Linked DNA regions of Caenorhabditis elegans. The protein of the gene in region 1 purifies or fractionates together with the protein of each later gene. This does not show direct contact. Each region holds a gene or a part of one and is shown on either strand. Other genes may lie near its edges.

Region 1 (7,196 bases):
TCTCCAGATGACATTCTCCTGCAAAAATTGACACAATTTTCGCAGCCTTTGGGTTTTTTTTCTCGTATTAGAAAATTCAAGAAGCTTCACAGAGGCCGGTAGTTTTTATGAAATTTATTGTAAAATTTCAGAAAATCGCAGATTAAACTCATAATTCTACACGTTTAAGAATTTTCGATCATTTTTGGTAGATTTTAATTCTCAAGAAGTGGAAAATGCTTTTTAAAAATGCGCGGAAACCAGTATGAAATTGTTTTTTTTTGCTATAAAATTTCTTAAAACCACATTTTTTCAGAAATCAGCGGATTTTGTGGAATTTAATGTAAAATATAGAAAATCGAAAGCTTTTCCAAAAAATCAAAATTTTTTTTGAAATTACTGTCGACACTTTTGGCACTTTTTTAAACATTTCCGCAACAAAACGGCTATTTTTTTTTTGAAAAAAAAAACTCACTGATATCCATTATGCAAATTTCCAGCAGGACTCAACAGCACCTGCGTATTCGTGTTACTCGGCGGTCCCATGATAATTGGTGCTCGCTGAGCCACACGAATTGTCGGTTGTGGATAAGGTTTTTTTCGTGCTGTTGTACCGCCGTGGGATCCATTGCTTGATGGTTGTTCAGAGTCGCGGAAATTTGTTGAGGTCTGGAAATTAATGAGAATTCACGAACAGCCGGTTTAAATTTTGAAATACGGCTTTAATTTAAAAAAAAGGATTTCTCAGGTATTCTCTTGATATTTTTTCAGCCATTTTTTAAATGATTTTCACCAAAAACTTCGAAATTCAATTTTCATCATGAAAATGTCGAAATTTGTCAACGTTTTTACTCTAAAAATCAAGAAAAATCCTTTTTTTAACCTATTCGTGCAGATATCTACAGAAAATAATGAAATTTTCAGAGTTTCAGTCATTTTTATTATTAAAAACCTCGATTTTTAAAATTCTACAGGTTTTCCATGAATTTTCGCAATTTTTAAAATTTTCTCCGAAAAAAATTATCAAATATTCAATTTTAATCTATTTTTACAGATATTGTTGGAAAATTATGAATTTTTTCATAGTTTTTCAAGAGAAGTCGCCTAAAAAGCTGAAATTGAGCAAGTTTTCGAGATTTTTCACAAAAAACTCACCAAATTCGGCTTCGTGTACTCGTTGACATTTATGTGTAACGGAGAGAGTGTTTGACTGGTTGGAACACCGACAGACGTCGATGCGACAAATGATGACTTTAGTTGAGCTTCTGACGCTGCAGCGGCGGCCTGAAAATTGAGAAATTGAGAAAAACAATAGGAAAATCGATTAAAATGTGCATTCATACATGTTTTTAATAAGTTTTTTTTACAAAATCGTTTTTAAAAATCTATTTAATGGAAAAATTAGTTTCAAAACATGTTTCTAATATATTTTTTCGACTAAATTAAATTAAAATCATGTTTTGATACATTTTATCGAGAAATTAGGTTAAAATCATTTTTAAAATTCTTTTTTTTTGACAAAATTGGTTGGAAATCATGTTTTTAGATTTTTTGGACAAAATTAGATTAAAACCTTTTTTAATCCATTTTTTCAACAAAACTAACTTAAAATTTAATTTTTATTTTATTTCTCCACAAAATCAGTTAGAAATCCAGTTTCTAGGGTTAAAAAACGCCAATTTTTTACCTCAATCTCTCGTTCATCGTCATTTGTATCACGTTGCTCAACAAATTGCGATAATCCTCCTCCATTTGAAGAAGAAGACGACGCATCGAACAATGAACGATCATGTTCCATACCAGGGAACGAGTGATGTGAGGCAGGAATTGTGCCACCTATTATCACCATACAATCCGATGGGATACTTCTGCTGATGTTGCTCGTATTTGAAAACGTTGTTGGTCCGAGGTTTTCCTTCAATTCTGATATGGATTAGAGGACATTTCACATGGAAAATCCGTGAAATTTCAGAAATTTTCAGTGGAATTTAATTTACCTGTTCTTGTCGAACGCTCATGCATTATTTGATGGTCTTCCCATCAACTTGTTGCTTGGAATCTTCTGAAAATTCGATTTTTTAAAAATGATTTTTGACAATTTTGAGCGGATTTGTGAGAGAAAATTCGATTGAAAAAAAATATTTTTACATTAAAACCGTTGAAAAAACCAATTCTTTTTGATATTTTTCAAAAAATTCCAATGAAATTTGGTTGTTTTCAACAAAAATATAACGGAAAAATGGTAAAATAGCAAAACTTTTATATAAATAGGAAAAATTTATAAATTTTGCGATGAAAAATCTCACAACGAGTTTTAAAAAACTTAATTTCTGATTTTAACAAAGTTTTAATTGAACAAAACAACAAAAATTCTCGAAAATCCGCCGAACTATGGAAATTAACTCTTTTTTATCTAATTATCGTGAGAAAACCGCGAAACCCGGGCAATTAGAGCAAAATAATGCGGTTTTGCGCCATTTTTCACAATAAAAATGAGACATTTTACGGGGAAAACGCTTGAAATTCGATATTTTTGTTTGTTTATAATTTTTATGATGCAACTAAACTTCACGAATCAACTTGATCAATCAATTTATCCGTTTTGGGATGAAAATTCCGGGAGATAAGCGAAAAATTTCTGAAAAATCGATAAAAATTCACCCGGAGGCGTGAAAAACAGCACGGATCCATCAGAAGATCCCTGGCAACGTGCCAACTCGCACGGCGTATTTCGAAAAAAGCGCGACGAGAGAGTGTGTGGCCGTGAGAGACGCGCGACACTCAGACAGTCGGAGAGAACGCCATCTCTTATGAGAGGTTGCGAAAGTCAACGGGTCTCGCCGCGAAGAGACACTTTTGTGTCGATTTACGAAGTGAGAAAGCCCGCGGGAAACTTTTTTAAATTTTATTCTTTTATTTTCGTCGGAATTCCTTCATTTTTTCTCATTTTCCACGCAAAATCGGTAAATAAATTGATTAAATATCGTCTTGTTTCGCGATTTTCAAGGTTCAATGGCGTTTTCAACTCTTTAACAGTTTCAGCATGGTTATGGAGGACGTCACGAATGTCAATCGCAATCGGAGATACATTTCCGACGGACTTGCTGTCGTTAAAATGACATTTTGTAAGAGTTTAACCGAATTTTCGCTTGAAAGTTCCCATTTTTCAGTAAAAAACATGCAAGAAATCAGTACTGCGCCACGCTACGAACCAGAGATGGTCTATCAGCATTTCGGAGATGAGGAGACAATCTTCGGCTACGAAGATCTCGAGGTTACCATCCATCACACAGCTCAAACCCTCTACAGCTACATAAACGTGAGCTATTCCTCAAAAGCGAAAAACGAAAACGGACTGGAGGCCGATGACGTCATTGATAAGCTGGTTCATCCAGACGTTCGTCCGAATGTTCTGGTTTCGGGAAAAGAAGAATTCCAGCAGAAGCTCATCAAACAGAAGGATTTCAAGCCTTTCGGTGAGATGGTACACAAGTTTGAGCTGAAAGGAAAGAGCTACGAGGTCTACAAAGTCGCCGAGCAAACCGAAGAGTTCAACCTTTTCCTAGAAAGAATCCAGACTCTCGGCATGTTGTGAGTGCTTAAAAAATAAGGATTTTCCTACAAAATTTTTTTTTCAGCTTCATCGAGTGCTGCTCACTGACAGATAACACTGAAGACAATTGGCTTCACTATTTTATGTAAGTTGAGAAGATTTCGCGGCGAATTCCAGAAATTACAAAAAATCGAACGCATTTCAAATATTTTTCAATTTTCCAGCTACGAACGCTGCGACACCGGTGAAGGAGATGGAAGTACTGTGGCCAACGTGGCTGGCTACGCGACACTCTTCAAATTCTACAACTACATTGACAGGATCCGTCCACGAATTGCACAGATGCTATTGCTCCCTCAATACAGAAAATCTGGAATTGGAGCCAGTTTCATGGAATCTTTCCTGCGAGATCTTCGTGCCTCTCCAGAAGTTTTCGACGTAACCGTCGAGTCTCCCGGAGATCAGTTCGTCAGCCTCCGTGACTATGTGGATTGTGTCAACTGCATGACACTGCGGGAATTTGCACCGGAGAATCTCAAGAGGGGATACTCGGACAAAATGCGTCAGGCCGCACTGGAAAAGCTCAAGATTTCCAGACAACAAGCCCGTCGAGTCTATGAAATTTTGCGTTATCGTGCTACAAATAAGAAGGATAAAGAAGAGCTGAAAGCGCAGAGAATCGATGTGAAACGTCGGTTGTATGCACCAATGAAGAAATCGGATCAGGACTGGAAGCGTCTGAATCTCGCGTTGACACCCGATGAGCTTCGACAAGCGGCCTGTGGACAAATGGATGAGGAAACCAAGTTCTCGACGCTCTCACAGAATTATGATCGGCTTATGGAGGCCTATCAAAAAACTATTGATCGAATTGAGCAGCATCCAAGCATTTTTTAATCGTTGTATCTGTATCTTATTTTAATTTGAAATTACATGTGGGATTTTTGTATTTTTTTTAAAGCTAATTACCACGAAATTCGTCTAAATTTGCTGTAAATTTGCAAAATTCCCTTGCCGTTATTACCCATACGCGAAATTTTGCGCCAAAAGTACGGTATCCGGTCTCGAAGAGAAAAATGTATGATAAATGCGAAAAAGTGTGCGCCTTTAACGATTTTTATCAGGTTTTCATAGTTTTTCCCAGCATTTGTTAAAGTTTTTTTGGGTTTTGATTGTGATCTACGAAAAATCGACGAAAATCCGCAATAGCAAAAGTTTGAAGCTACAGTACTCTTTAAAGGCGCACAAATTTTCGCGTTTAACAAACATGTTTCGTTGCGAGACCAGGCACCGTATTTTTGGCGTGAAAATCGCTTTGGGTCCTATTTGACTTATTGTGAATGTTTCATGAATTTTTCCGCTCTCTAAACTCTCAGCTAAAAATCGAATTCCCAGTTGAAAATCCCGAATATATTTTTATCTTCTTATATATTATTCTTCAATTACAAAAAAAAAACTCACCGAAATAAATGATCTCTCACTCTATCCCAGCAGAATGGACGAATTCTCATTTCCATTTCAACCATACGACATTCAACTCAATTTGATGCGAGAAATCCGCCAATGCATTGAACAACGGAAAATTGGCATTTTCGAATCTCCAACAGGCACCGGAAAGTCGCTCAGCGTGTTGTGCTCGACGATGACGTGGCTGGAAGCTGAAGAACTACGAATTTCGACTGATTTGAGCACACGGCTCGGGGAGGTTCACACGAAAATCACGGAATGCGATAAAATCACCACCGCCGACAATTGGGAGACGGCAGTTCGTGAGAAAATGCGAGCTCAAGACGTAGAGACGGAGATTTTGGAGCAAATTCAGAGTCGGGAAAGGTGTTGGAAATTGAATAATTATTCTTTTTTAATTTTTTTTTAAATGAAAAAAATCATTCAGATTGCAGTCACGAATCGATCAAGCCCGGCGAGGAATGGTCGAGGTCTCCAGAAAGAGAAAAGCCCCGGCCAGGGATACGGATCAGTTTCTCGAACCTCAAGATGTAATAATTGAACTTTTATCCGGAAATTCACATGTGGCTGACCGTTTTTTCGGAAAATTTCAAGATTTCTGACTAGAACCTGGCTTTTTTTTTCTGGAAAAACCTTGAAATACGCAAAAATTCCAAATTTTTAAATACAAACCTTCAGTATTGCTAATTTTTTGAGAAATGTGAAAAAATGTTAACAGTATTATATAGCAAGATAGATATAGAATAGATTCCACAATATGAATAGATACACAATAGAATAGTTACATAGTAATACATAGAATAGACACTTGATGCCTCACTTTAAAGGCGCACGCTGTTTTCTGAGTGGGTCTCGCCACGATCCCAGCCACAGTAGTCGCTACAAATTTGAAGTTTCATAAATTGAATATGCCAGGTTTTCAAGAAAATGTTATTCTAGAAGTTTCTATTATAGAAATAATACAGAAATATCAAAATTCAAAATAAAATTTCCAGGAAGCCGCCCCATCGGAAGAATACAATAACGACGAGAAAAGTGAGAAACAGCGGGATTCCGATTTTTTCGATGATGTCGATGAAGAAGAGGAGAAGCCACTGAAATGTCTGAAAGTACAGAATTTATTTCAATATTTCGGAAAGTGCAATCGCGCTCCATAGCCAAATGAAAGTGCAATTCAAACTTTTTCAAGCATTTTTGTGACAGTAACTGTATATCATTAAAAATTGGAAAATCTTGGGTTTTACCGCCAATACCTAACGAGACCCATGTTTCGGGGGCAGAGCGTTTTTATTTTTTATTTGGCTATGGAGCGCGATTGCACTTTCATCTCAAAAGTCGCATATAGCTGTCATATTATTACAGGAACAAAAAATTCTTAGAATGCGTATTGGGCAACATATTTGACGCGCAAAATATTCCGACGCGAAAACTACAGTAATCCTTTGGATGACTACTGTAGCGCTTGTGTCGATTTACGGGCAATATTTTTGAAATTAATTTCTTTTCAAAAAGTTACAACGGCTCTCAATTTTCTTTAATTTTTCGTTTTTAAAAATCAATAAATAAAAGGTTTTTGTAAATCGACACAGGAGCTACAACAGCAATTTAGAGGATTACTGTAGTTTTCGCTTTGAGATATTTTGCGCGTCAAATATGTTGCCCAATACGCATTCTCAGAGTTTCGTGTTACCGTAATACGTCTTTTTTTTTTTTAATGAAAGTTGTCTGAAAAAAATAATCGAAATTAAGTCGGAGAATTTTCAATTTACCGAACAAATTTTTTTAAATGAAAATTTGGTTTTTTTGTAAATTTTCAAAACTGCATTAAAATTTTTTTAATTGAAAACTGAAAAATCAATAATTTTTTATTCAAACTGTCTTGAAATTTTCTGAATTTTCCAGATTTTCTACGCATCACGAACACATTCTCAATTGGAGCAACTTGCCGAGGAGCTCGCAAAAACTAGATTTCAACCCAGAATAGTTACATGTGCCTCACGAGGAACATTATGTGTAAATGAAGAAGTCAAAAAGTTGAAATTAAATCATTTAATCAATGAAAAATGTATGGAATTGCGAAAAAACGGAATGTCGGAAAAGGAAAAAGTTCAGAAATTGGAGAAAGGAACCACGAAAAAGACAAAAACCTGTGCGACTTCATGCGAATTCTACAATTCCACACAAATCGAAGATGTAG
Region 2 (9,556 bases), 300 kb from region 1:
AAAATGTTGAAAATTTTCAGATTTCGGTAATTCGAAATGTTTTCTACAAAAAATTATGTAAAAAACTGAAAAAAAGGTTGATTTTTTTAATAAAAAGAATTGCAGTTTTCTGTTTTTAAAAATTTTTAATTTTATATTAAATAACTACAAAAAAGTTGTTTCTATTTTATTTATTTTTTGAATAAAAATTTCCGAAATTTTCTGCAGAAAAGTGTCTATTTTTCAAAAAAATTAAAACAAACCGAACAAAAGCTGGCGGAAACCTCTGATTCTGTTGATAATATGTGGCTCGAGTGCGGCTGAAGCTCACAAGAAAGCTGTTCGACGCTTTTAAAAACATTCTGAAACAAAATTTTCCTGGAATTCAGAATATCTCGGTAGGTTAAAGGGATATTTCATCGGAAAATCTCGAAATTGAATTGTTGATTAAAAATGTCAAAATCGGTTTTGATATGAAAATTTAGATTTAAAGAAAAGGACGACAGACAACAAAATTGAGCGAAAAATCTAAAAATTAAAAAAAAAGAACTAAAAATTATTATACTTCGTCACAAATGGCTTATCAGATCCCTTCAGTTTCTCTTGTAGACCCAAACAGCGTCGATTCCTTCTCCGATTTGATGCTCCTGGAAAAAATGAAATTTTAAAAAAAACTTTTATTTAAAAAATAATTAATTTTTTTCTCAGTTTTTACAATTTTTTTTTATTAATTAATGAAATTATTTGTTCAAATATGTTCACTTTAATTTGAGAACTTTTTAAGCATAAATTTTTTGCAGTTTTTTTTAATAGAAAATTTCAATGTTTAGAAAACTTCGAATTCTCCAAAAAAAAACATTTTTTAAAGGATTTTTTTTTTTTTTAAATCATCGTTATTTCAGTTTTTACAGCATTTTTTGTTAAAAAAAAAATAGTTTTTACAAAATTTTTTTAATTGAAAATTTTTTATCTTTTTGTTTAGAGATTGTTTTTTAAAATTATTATTTTTACATTTTTGGGGTTTTTTTTCTATTTTTTGTTCATTTTTCAAATTTCCTTGCGATCCTGCACACTTTTTCAAACAAAATCAGTAAAATGATGTAATAATCAGTTTTATTCGATTTTTTAAATTTACAGTGAGGTTTTAATTTTTTAACCATAAATTTGAAAAAAAATTTAGATTTTTTTCAATATTTTTTCTAAAAAAATGTATTACATTTTTTTTCAACTTTCTTTTTGGCAAAATTCGAAAAAAAAATTATTTTTGTAATGACTTTTTTTCGTTTTGAGGTCCAATATCCGGGTTTTTTTTTTGATGAAAATTAATTTTTCAGCCAATTCTTACCAATTTCCATGCATCATTCTCTGGTAACGGGAATCGACACGCAAGAAGATTTGTGTTTGATCGCATTTCACTGAGTTTTGGAACCAAATCACCCATTAAACTCTCGGCTCCAAAGATAACTGCGGTTTGATATGGATTGAGATCAGTTTTGAAGATATTCTTGCGCATAAATCTGAAATTTATTTTTATTTTTAAAGATTTAGGTTTTCTAAAAATGTAAATTTTTTAAATGTTTTCCAAAAAACTTCTTTTTTTTCTGAAAAATTTCAATAAAATTCAGGTCTCAATCAATTTAAAATAGCATTGAAATTGAGTTTTGCGCAAATTCGAATAAAAATTAAAAATTATTAATTTTGAAATTAATAAAATTAATAATAATTAATTTTAATTCGAATTTTTCGCAAAAAAGTCAATTTTTTATAAATTTGAATTAAAACTTAATTTTTTTTTTCGAATTTCGCAGGATTTTTAAGGACTTTTTTAAAGTAAAATTCCAATAAAAATCTTTTTTAAATTATTATTTTAAAATTAATTTTTGTTCGAATTTTTTAAAATTTTTATTCGAATTTTGCACAAAAAGTCCTTTTTACATTTTAAATAAATTTTTAAAAAGTTTTTTTTTTGGATTAAAACTTAGATTTTATTCGAATTTCGCAGAAATTTCAAGCGGATTTTCGAAAATTGAAATTCCGAATTGTTTTTTGGAATTTTTTCGAATTTCTAGGATCTTACAGAATTTTCAAAAACATTTCTGAAAATTTTGTGCACATTTTTTTTGAGTGAATGCTCAAAAAAAAGGAATTTCTAGAGTATTTCAAATTTTTTTTTTGGAATTTTTAGAAATTTCTGATTTTAAGCTGAAAAATAACCTAGTTTCTTTGCCCAATCCCTCCCTTATTGAACGGTATTTTGAATAGGCGACGAGGATCGAATTCAGTTCCACTCCCGTGCTGTTGAACCCTTCCCTGGCACATTGAAGCACCTGTAAATGCTCATTTTAGTCAGTTTTTAGTCTATTTACTACGTTAGTAACTGCAATCAAACACACATATTATCTTCTTTAATACACAATTTATTATATATATATATATCAACTCTCTAAAAATCTTTTAAAAAAATTGCGAAAACATTGAAAAACAACTCGGAGAAAGAGGGACTAGAAACATGAAAGTGACGTCATTGATGAGCACTAAAGCTTTGTGGCGGGGACGATGGAATGAAAAAATGGAATGGCGTGTTTTTGGGTTGAGAAATTGGAGGAAATGATGCGATTGTGCTCTATCGCACAAATTTCAGGATCTCAAAGCGTTTTTGCTACAAGCTACAGAAATATCACAAAGAAACTGAAAAAAAGTTGCGATGTAAAAAATATATATAAATAGATTTTTCAAAATTTCTGTTTCAGACCACCAGCGCATCGCTCCGCCCATTTTTGAACCAATCAGATAGAGTGGGCGGAGTTCGAAGACGCTGATTGGTTCAAGAGTGGGCGGAACGAATCGCTGATCGGCCTGAAACAGAGAAATTGGCACAGATGCAAAATTTCGCGATTTTTCTCGTTTTTTTCTATTTTTTTATTATTATTTTTTCGGAAATTCAAATTTTCTGACATATTGTTTTTTTTCACGATTTTTTTTTAAGTCAAGAAAACCCCCGAAAAAAGTCGTGCAACAGAGCAAAATTGCATTAGCCTCAAGTTAGACTCCGCCCATTTACTGGCAAATATGTCGCGTGGAATTTCAAAAAATTTGCATTTTTGTAATTTTTCAATTTCCGATTTTCCAGCAATTTCCAACACTGAAAAAGCTCAAAATTATATAAAACTTAAAAATTTCAATTCCGCGCGGCAGACTTGCCAATAAGTGGGCGTGGCCTGCCAGCTATTTCCCACCCAGAAAAACCCTGATAATTGGGGGAAAACAACAACAGATATTTGAAAAAAAAAGTAATAACCGAAAAAAAATTGTGTTAAGTGAACCGTGCACACGCTGGGGGAAGGGGAAAGGGGACGGGTAGGCCTTCCACGTAGGCATAAATACCTACACGCCTGCCTACAAAAGGTGAGCAGGCAGGCAGGCAGACATTTTTGCTCACATAGAGGCTCTAGAGGTCAATGTGACCTATTTAAAAGAGGCTTAGGGGCAGAAAATAGGGAAATTTCCGAAGTAACACGAGAAAACATCTACGAAAACTAGATCTATGATTTCAGTATAGTTTCCGTGTAGCCTCGAAAACTCCTGATATTTTGCCCGCTAAACCTCCCGATTAGGTGTTAGTAGTGTCGATGAAAGTAGTAGTGACGACCGGAGCAGCGGCAATCATCCGATTGAACCGATTCTTACGAAGAAGCTGTCTTGAGGCCTTCGCCGACTTCTTCTGCTTCTTGACACGCTCCATGAGATCCTGTCCGCGATGCGTGACCCCATCCATTTGATCCATTTTCGATAGCAGTGACTCCAAATCTCCTTTTCGAATCGGCTTCACCGAGATATCACGCACCGCGCGGAATTGACCACAATTGTTGACATGCTCATTTTCAAGTCGGAAATAGTTCCAGATAAACCGACGGAACACTTCGAATGGTGCGGTTACTGTCGTCAAAAAGTCCGAGTCAAGAGTCCAAGCTTCTCCGAGCGAGACGTTGAGCACCCAAGCCAATCGGAGCACAAAATCCTGAGCGATAGCCATATAGTAATACCATTTACTACCATAGATCATTTCTTCACGCAAGAATCTTGCCTCCTTTGGAGCCCTTGGATCGATTAATCCCCAATCCATGAAGATATCCCAAAGGAAGGTGTAGGTAAAGGACATTATATAGGACAGAATCCAAATGTAGAAAAAGATCGAAGTGGTGTTAGGATCCGTAGCCTCGTAGTACTTGTTCAGGGCTCCACAGGCAACTACAAAGAAGGTCGTGGAATACTTTCCAGCATTCACTAAATGTGGATGTACTCGTTTTGTATCTCTATAACGTCTGAGGCACTGCAGAAAACGGATCATTGCCGGAATTATCGACATGAGGGACCGAAGACCTGCGGCAGAAGCACATTGATCCTTTCCATTCGACAACTCGACACTTCCCCAGGGAACCGATCCAGTGGTAGAGTTGATTCCCTTCACTTCAATCCACCCATTCGAGTAGTCAACTTCTGTAGCGTAAAAGCACACAAAGTACTGAAAGTCTAGGAATGCGGTGGTCAGTGAGTTCATTTGATCTCCAAGCCAGAAATCGGTGAATGTGACGAAATGGAATGGTGATGTGAAGCACTTGTAGCAATGTTTCAGAAGCCAGAATCGAGAATTTCTGTGGAATACCGAGTCGGGTTTGGCGATTGGATTCAGAAGAAGAATCAGACAAACCACCATTAGTGCTAATGGAGGTGCGAATGGTGGAATATGGAGCATATGAGCATATAGATAGGCGAGAACTGCAAAAGACCACAGCATAATCATAAAGGATGCGATTTGCATCAGAGTTTGATATGAGAGATGATTCCTGGGATCTACTTCAAAGATCAGAACGTGATTGACTCCAGCAGCAGCCCAACCAGCCATATTCACACCACAAAGGAAGATTGATAGGAAGAGAAGTAGTGGTCCTCGGAATAAACGAACGGCTACCCATTTTGGTTCTTGAGGTCGTGCTGGGGAGGCGATCCATGTTAGAAGTATTGCAAGGAGCAGGATGATGCTCGCACCGATGAAGAGGCCCAGGGAGAAGGTGGTGAGAGGCTTCTGCTTCTCCGAGAGTGGTGGTACCTGGAAAATTCGATTTTTTCTTCATTCCGGTTTTTTTTTAAATTTTATTTTAGTTTCTAAGTAAATTTTTTATTTGAAATTCACATTTTTTAAAGAAATTTTTATTCGGAAAAAACTGAATATTTTTTTATTTTATTTTTAATTTTTGAAAGATTCGAGTGTTTTTCTCGAATTTTTCGATTTAAAAAAAATTAATTTCCTTACTATTTTAAAAATTTATTCGATTTTAGATCAAATATTGATAATTTTCTAGGTTTTCAATTTTTTTAAAAATTATTTCAACGATTTCAGTCAGGTTTTTGTATTTTCTTTTTTTTTTAAACAAAAATTGAAAATATCACAATTTTTCCCTGGAAATTTTTATTTTGATTAGAAATTTTTTTTTCAGAAAAAATTCATTTTATTGAAATTTTTTATTATTTATTTTCAAAAAAACTTAAAACTACTATTCAGCATTTTCTTAGATTTTTTTTCAAAAAATCTCCGAAAAAAAAAACTGAAAATCGCTCGAAAATTCAATTTTTCATTGGGTTTTCTAAAGTTAATTCTGTTTCGTATAAAATAATCAATTTTCCAATTTTTTCAGCGAAATTTCGAACCTTAAGCCTCTTCATTCCAGCTTGTCGATTTCCAGCCTCCAAATCATTAATTACACTGGTTTCCACATTTGTGATCAGAGTTTCAATTTCTCGATTCAAGAAAAACGACGATTTTTCCACTTTATTAATCCGCCAGTCGAGTCCTCGTTCGTTGCCAGTGAGCTTGTCGTGTTTCTTTAAAATCTTCCGAAATCCGGTAGCATTCAATTGCTGAAAGTTCTGAACCAGCACCAGAGAAAGATAAAACTCGGAGAATGCGAGTTTCAGCTGCTGCTCATTCCGTGTGGTCTCCTTATGGAATTTGTCTTTTCCTCCGAACCTTCTACGGATCCCTGTGGTATCGCTGCGAGACCCAAGAACATCCTTGAACACTTGTAGTTCGGTTTGAAGCTCGTGATGTTTTCCCTGTCCTTCAGCGATTTTTTGCGAGAAGAATAGGTTGATCTTGGTGAGCTCTTGGTCGCACTCGTTGAAAAATTTCTCGTCGAGCCGGGAAATGTGCTCTTCTCGGCGGTCATCGTCGGCGGGAACCTCCATCATATCATCGTATAATAGATTTTTGAGCCGCTCATAGTCAATGTATTGTTTCCGCCACTCGGGCGTCAAGTGGCTCGCTAGTTGCTCGCCGAACTTCATCTAAAATCGGGAAAATGGGAATAACTTACAACACGGCCATCGCCGGAGCCTAAATCAATGAGCGTTCCCTTCTTGTTGCTGTTGCTGCTCGTGGCGAGTGAAAGTGCGCGGGAGACGTTCGCGAGCTGCTCCGTCGTTGCTGGGACGTACGGAATGCAGACGCGTCGCAGAGCGGGCGCCACGAACGGAATTGCGGCCGCCGAGATGGCGAGCGCCGTTGCGCCAGCCACACCGGCAATCACCAGACCTGTGTTCATGCCCATACTGCAAAAAAACACAATCTCGAGGGGAACACTCATTGATTTAAATCATGATTTTTTATTTGTTTTAAAATTTATTATTTTTAAGTTTAAATTATCTTTATTTTTCAAAGGATTATTGTTTTTGAATATTTAAAATTAAAATTCATACCCACCTTTATTCTTCAATCGATTTTCTTCGGAATAAGATGAAGTTTCTCATCAACGATTCAAATTTTCTACCTGAAAACAGAAAAAAAATGTTTAAAACGATTTTCAGGCCTAAAACAGTGCAAAACACTGGAAATATATCGATTTACGCATAAATTGCACTCGACAGAATCAAAATTTAAATTCGTACTTTTCGCGAAAAAGAGATAGACAACGAAATTCGATAAGGGCACATGCGACTAAAAATCGGGAGCTCAGTGCACCGGAAGTGCGCAAGCAGTTGATGATTGCGCAAACGAGTGGCTACTGGCGCGTTTTCGGATGGGTCGGATTTATTTTCTGCAATTTCTGTGCGATTTTTATTAATTTTTTGCGTTTCCCACCGTATTTTCCAACCAAATTTCTGAATTTTTATATAAAATTGTCGTAATTTGCATGGTTCCGACGTTGAAAATCACCAAAACCCAGGTTAAAATTCGTTTTTTAAAAAGGGGGTTTACTTTATAAAGATATGCAATTTTGGAATTTCAGTTTTGCTAATTTTTCGTGGTTTCTTAGAGTTTTTCTATTGAAGATTGTTAAAGATCTTGTAAAGAAGATGTTAAGTCGGTAAACATTGCAAAACTTTTAATTTTCCTCAATTTTCGCTAATTTTTTGCGTTTCTTTATGATTTTTATTTTAAAATTAGGTTTTTCGGGTATCGATTTGTTAATTTTTTAGCTAAAAATATATTACATAAACAAAAGTTTCTTCAAACTTATATTTCTCTCTTATTCCGATTAAAAACTAAATTACCTTTCAACTTCCAGGTAAATATGTTGTCCAGAACACTCCGACCGATCTCCAAGGTGCTCAGAAGCAGCGCGAAGTACTCCCAGGCCGCAGGTAATCTGAAAATTAAGATTTTCCTCAAAATCATATCAAAATTTTCAGGTCTTCCATTAAACGAGGGAAGCCCGGCACCATTGCCATCAGAAGACAGAGCAATCTCCGCAAAAGTCAGCTCGTTGGTTGAAGAAATCGCGAATCTCAGCCTGCTCGACGTCTCCGATCTTAACTGGGCTCTCAAGAAGCGGCTCAACATTCCAGATCAACCATTGATGGCTGCTGCCGCTGCTGCTCCAGCCGCTCAGGGTAAACATTATTTATTATAGTTTAATAAAATTATTTATTTATTTTCATTATTTTTCAGCCGAAGCGGAAGCCGCATCAGACGTTCCACAAAAAATGACATTCACTGTGAAATTAACGAAATTCGATGATACCAAGAAGATCGCAATCATCAAGGAGATCCGTAACGCCATTCCAGGCCTCAATCTCGTTCAGGCCAAGAAGTTTGTGGAAACCGCACCGGTAAATGTTAAGGAGGATCTTGGAAAGGCAGAAGCCGATGAGTTGAAGGCTATTCTGGAGAAGGCTGGAGCTACCATTGAAATTGTTTAATTTTTTGTTCTATATTTCCCTCTTTTCATTTGTTGTGTTCTCATTTTCTTCAAATTTTTCGTAGATAGTGTAGCATTTCTTTTTGTTAAGTTTTATTTTATTTTATGGAAAAATAATTAATTTCAAAAATAATTAAATTTACACCCGGCAAGAAGAGAAATACACGTCCCATGATAGAAATACTATTGGATAGATTCTGGAGAAGCTGCTGGAGAAGATCAAAAATCGGTAGTCTCATTTGAAGAAGTGTCAAGACCTGCAATTTGGGAAAATTACCGGAAGCCTGTATGGGTACAAACCTCCGCGTCCGAATACTTTCAGCGACATTCCGAATTGAAGAACTCGCATATCCTTTTCGGATAATTGGCCGAACGAGATCGCGTGGTCGGAACATTTTCCGGCTTTTGTGGGACTTGAACGGAACAATTTCGAGTCTGGCGCAATTATTTGTTTTGGTGGAAGATCGTTGAATAGTCGGAGAGCATCTTCATCAAATGGATCAGCTATCTGGACACCGTACTTCTCGCTGCAGTCGTAGAGAGCGAAATCCGAGGCTCGCGAGAAGAAAAATCCTCTGAAAATCATGAAATCAAACATTTTTAGAATTTATTCGGGAGTTTTCCAGAAGTAATTCTCTGATTTTCGATTTTTTAGTCTTCAAAAACTTTCGGTAATTTTGCAAATTAAATTTGTTACACTGATGCAAAACTTTGCGATATTTGCCCCAGAATTACGGTACCCGGTCTTGATACGACATTTTTTTGCTAATGTTGAAAGGTCTGCGCCTTTAAAGATTAGTGAAATTTCAAACTTGTGCTGCTGTGGAGTTTTATCGCTTTTTCATTGTTTTCTGCTGATTTATTTTTTAAACATACATATTAACAATCGTGAGAAAAACTATGAAAATAAATGATTTTAATGAAAATTCCACGGAAACCAAAGTTTTCAATTACAGTACTCTTTAAAGGCGCACATATTTTCGCATATGACCAAAATTTGTCGTGTCGAGACCAGGTACCGTATTTTTAGCGCAATATTTCGCGACTCGAAAATCCAAGTAAATAGTATTTTATTAAAATTTGATACACAAGGTGTAGGGTTCCCAGAAATTTAATTATTTTTGCGCGTCAAATTCGCTGTATTGGGTACGTAGCACTAAAAAAAATCTTACTTGCAAGCAGAAAGCTTATCAATTGCTGGATTTGATAGCACAACTCCACCACGAACGGAAATCTTCTTGAAGCTGCTCAGCGGGAAGAGCCAAGAGAATAATGTGCTGGAAAATTGCTGGTTTTTTGGAAAAGCTCGGCCACTGATTTAAATATTACGGGAAAACTAAATTCTGGGAATGCATATTACGCAACACATTTGACGCGCAAAA

What was found.
Region 2: the proteins of hat-1 (region 1) and Y39A1A.22 fractionate together in Caenorhabditis elegans (co-fractionation; one large-scale study listed by BioGRID). This does not show direct contact.

Annotation. Positions count from the first base shown.
Region 1 is NC_003281.10:10,403,068-10,410,263, reverse strand, and holds hat-1 (Histone acetyltransferase type B catalytic subunit), read left to right. Parts: upstream 1-3,015; 5' UTR 3,016-3,022; coding exon 3,023-3,104; intron 3,105-3,149; coding exon 3,150-3,570; intron 3,571-3,617; coding exon 3,618-3,677; intron 3,678-3,756; coding exon 3,757-4,429; 3' UTR 4,430-5,016; downstream 5,017-7,196. Other genes in the region: M03C11.3 (PH domain-containing protein), read right to left, coding at 1-18, 455-648, 1,135-1,263, 1,667-1,902, 1,977-2,001; ATP-dependent DNA helicase chl-1, read left to right, coding at 5,028-5,365, 5,427-5,529, 5,995-6,108, 6,902-7,196.
Region 2 is NC_003281.10:10,700,220-10,709,775, forward strand, and holds Y39A1A.22 (Xenotropic and polytropic retrovirus receptor 1 homolog), read right to left. Parts: upstream 6,810-9,556; 5' UTR 6,737-6,809; intron 6,586-6,736; exon of another isoform or gene 6,585-6,585; coding exon of another isoform or gene 6,351-6,584; intron 6,322-6,350; coding exon 5,686-6,321; intron 5,087-5,685; coding exon 3,590-5,086; 3' UTR 2,394-3,589; downstream 1-2,393. Other genes in the region: Y39A1A.20 (uncharacterized protein), read right to left, coding at 243-340; Y39A1A.21 (ATP synthase subunit C lysine N-methyltransferase), read right to left, coding at 573-626, 1,325-1,496, 2,194-2,306, 6,351-6,584; mrpl-12 (Mitochondrial Ribosomal Protein, Large), read left to right, coding at 7,548-7,617, 7,666-7,866, 7,925-8,175; W09D10.5 (N-acetylgalactosaminide beta-1,3-galactosyltransferase), read right to left, coding at 8,394-8,431, 8,475-8,749, 9,347-9,451.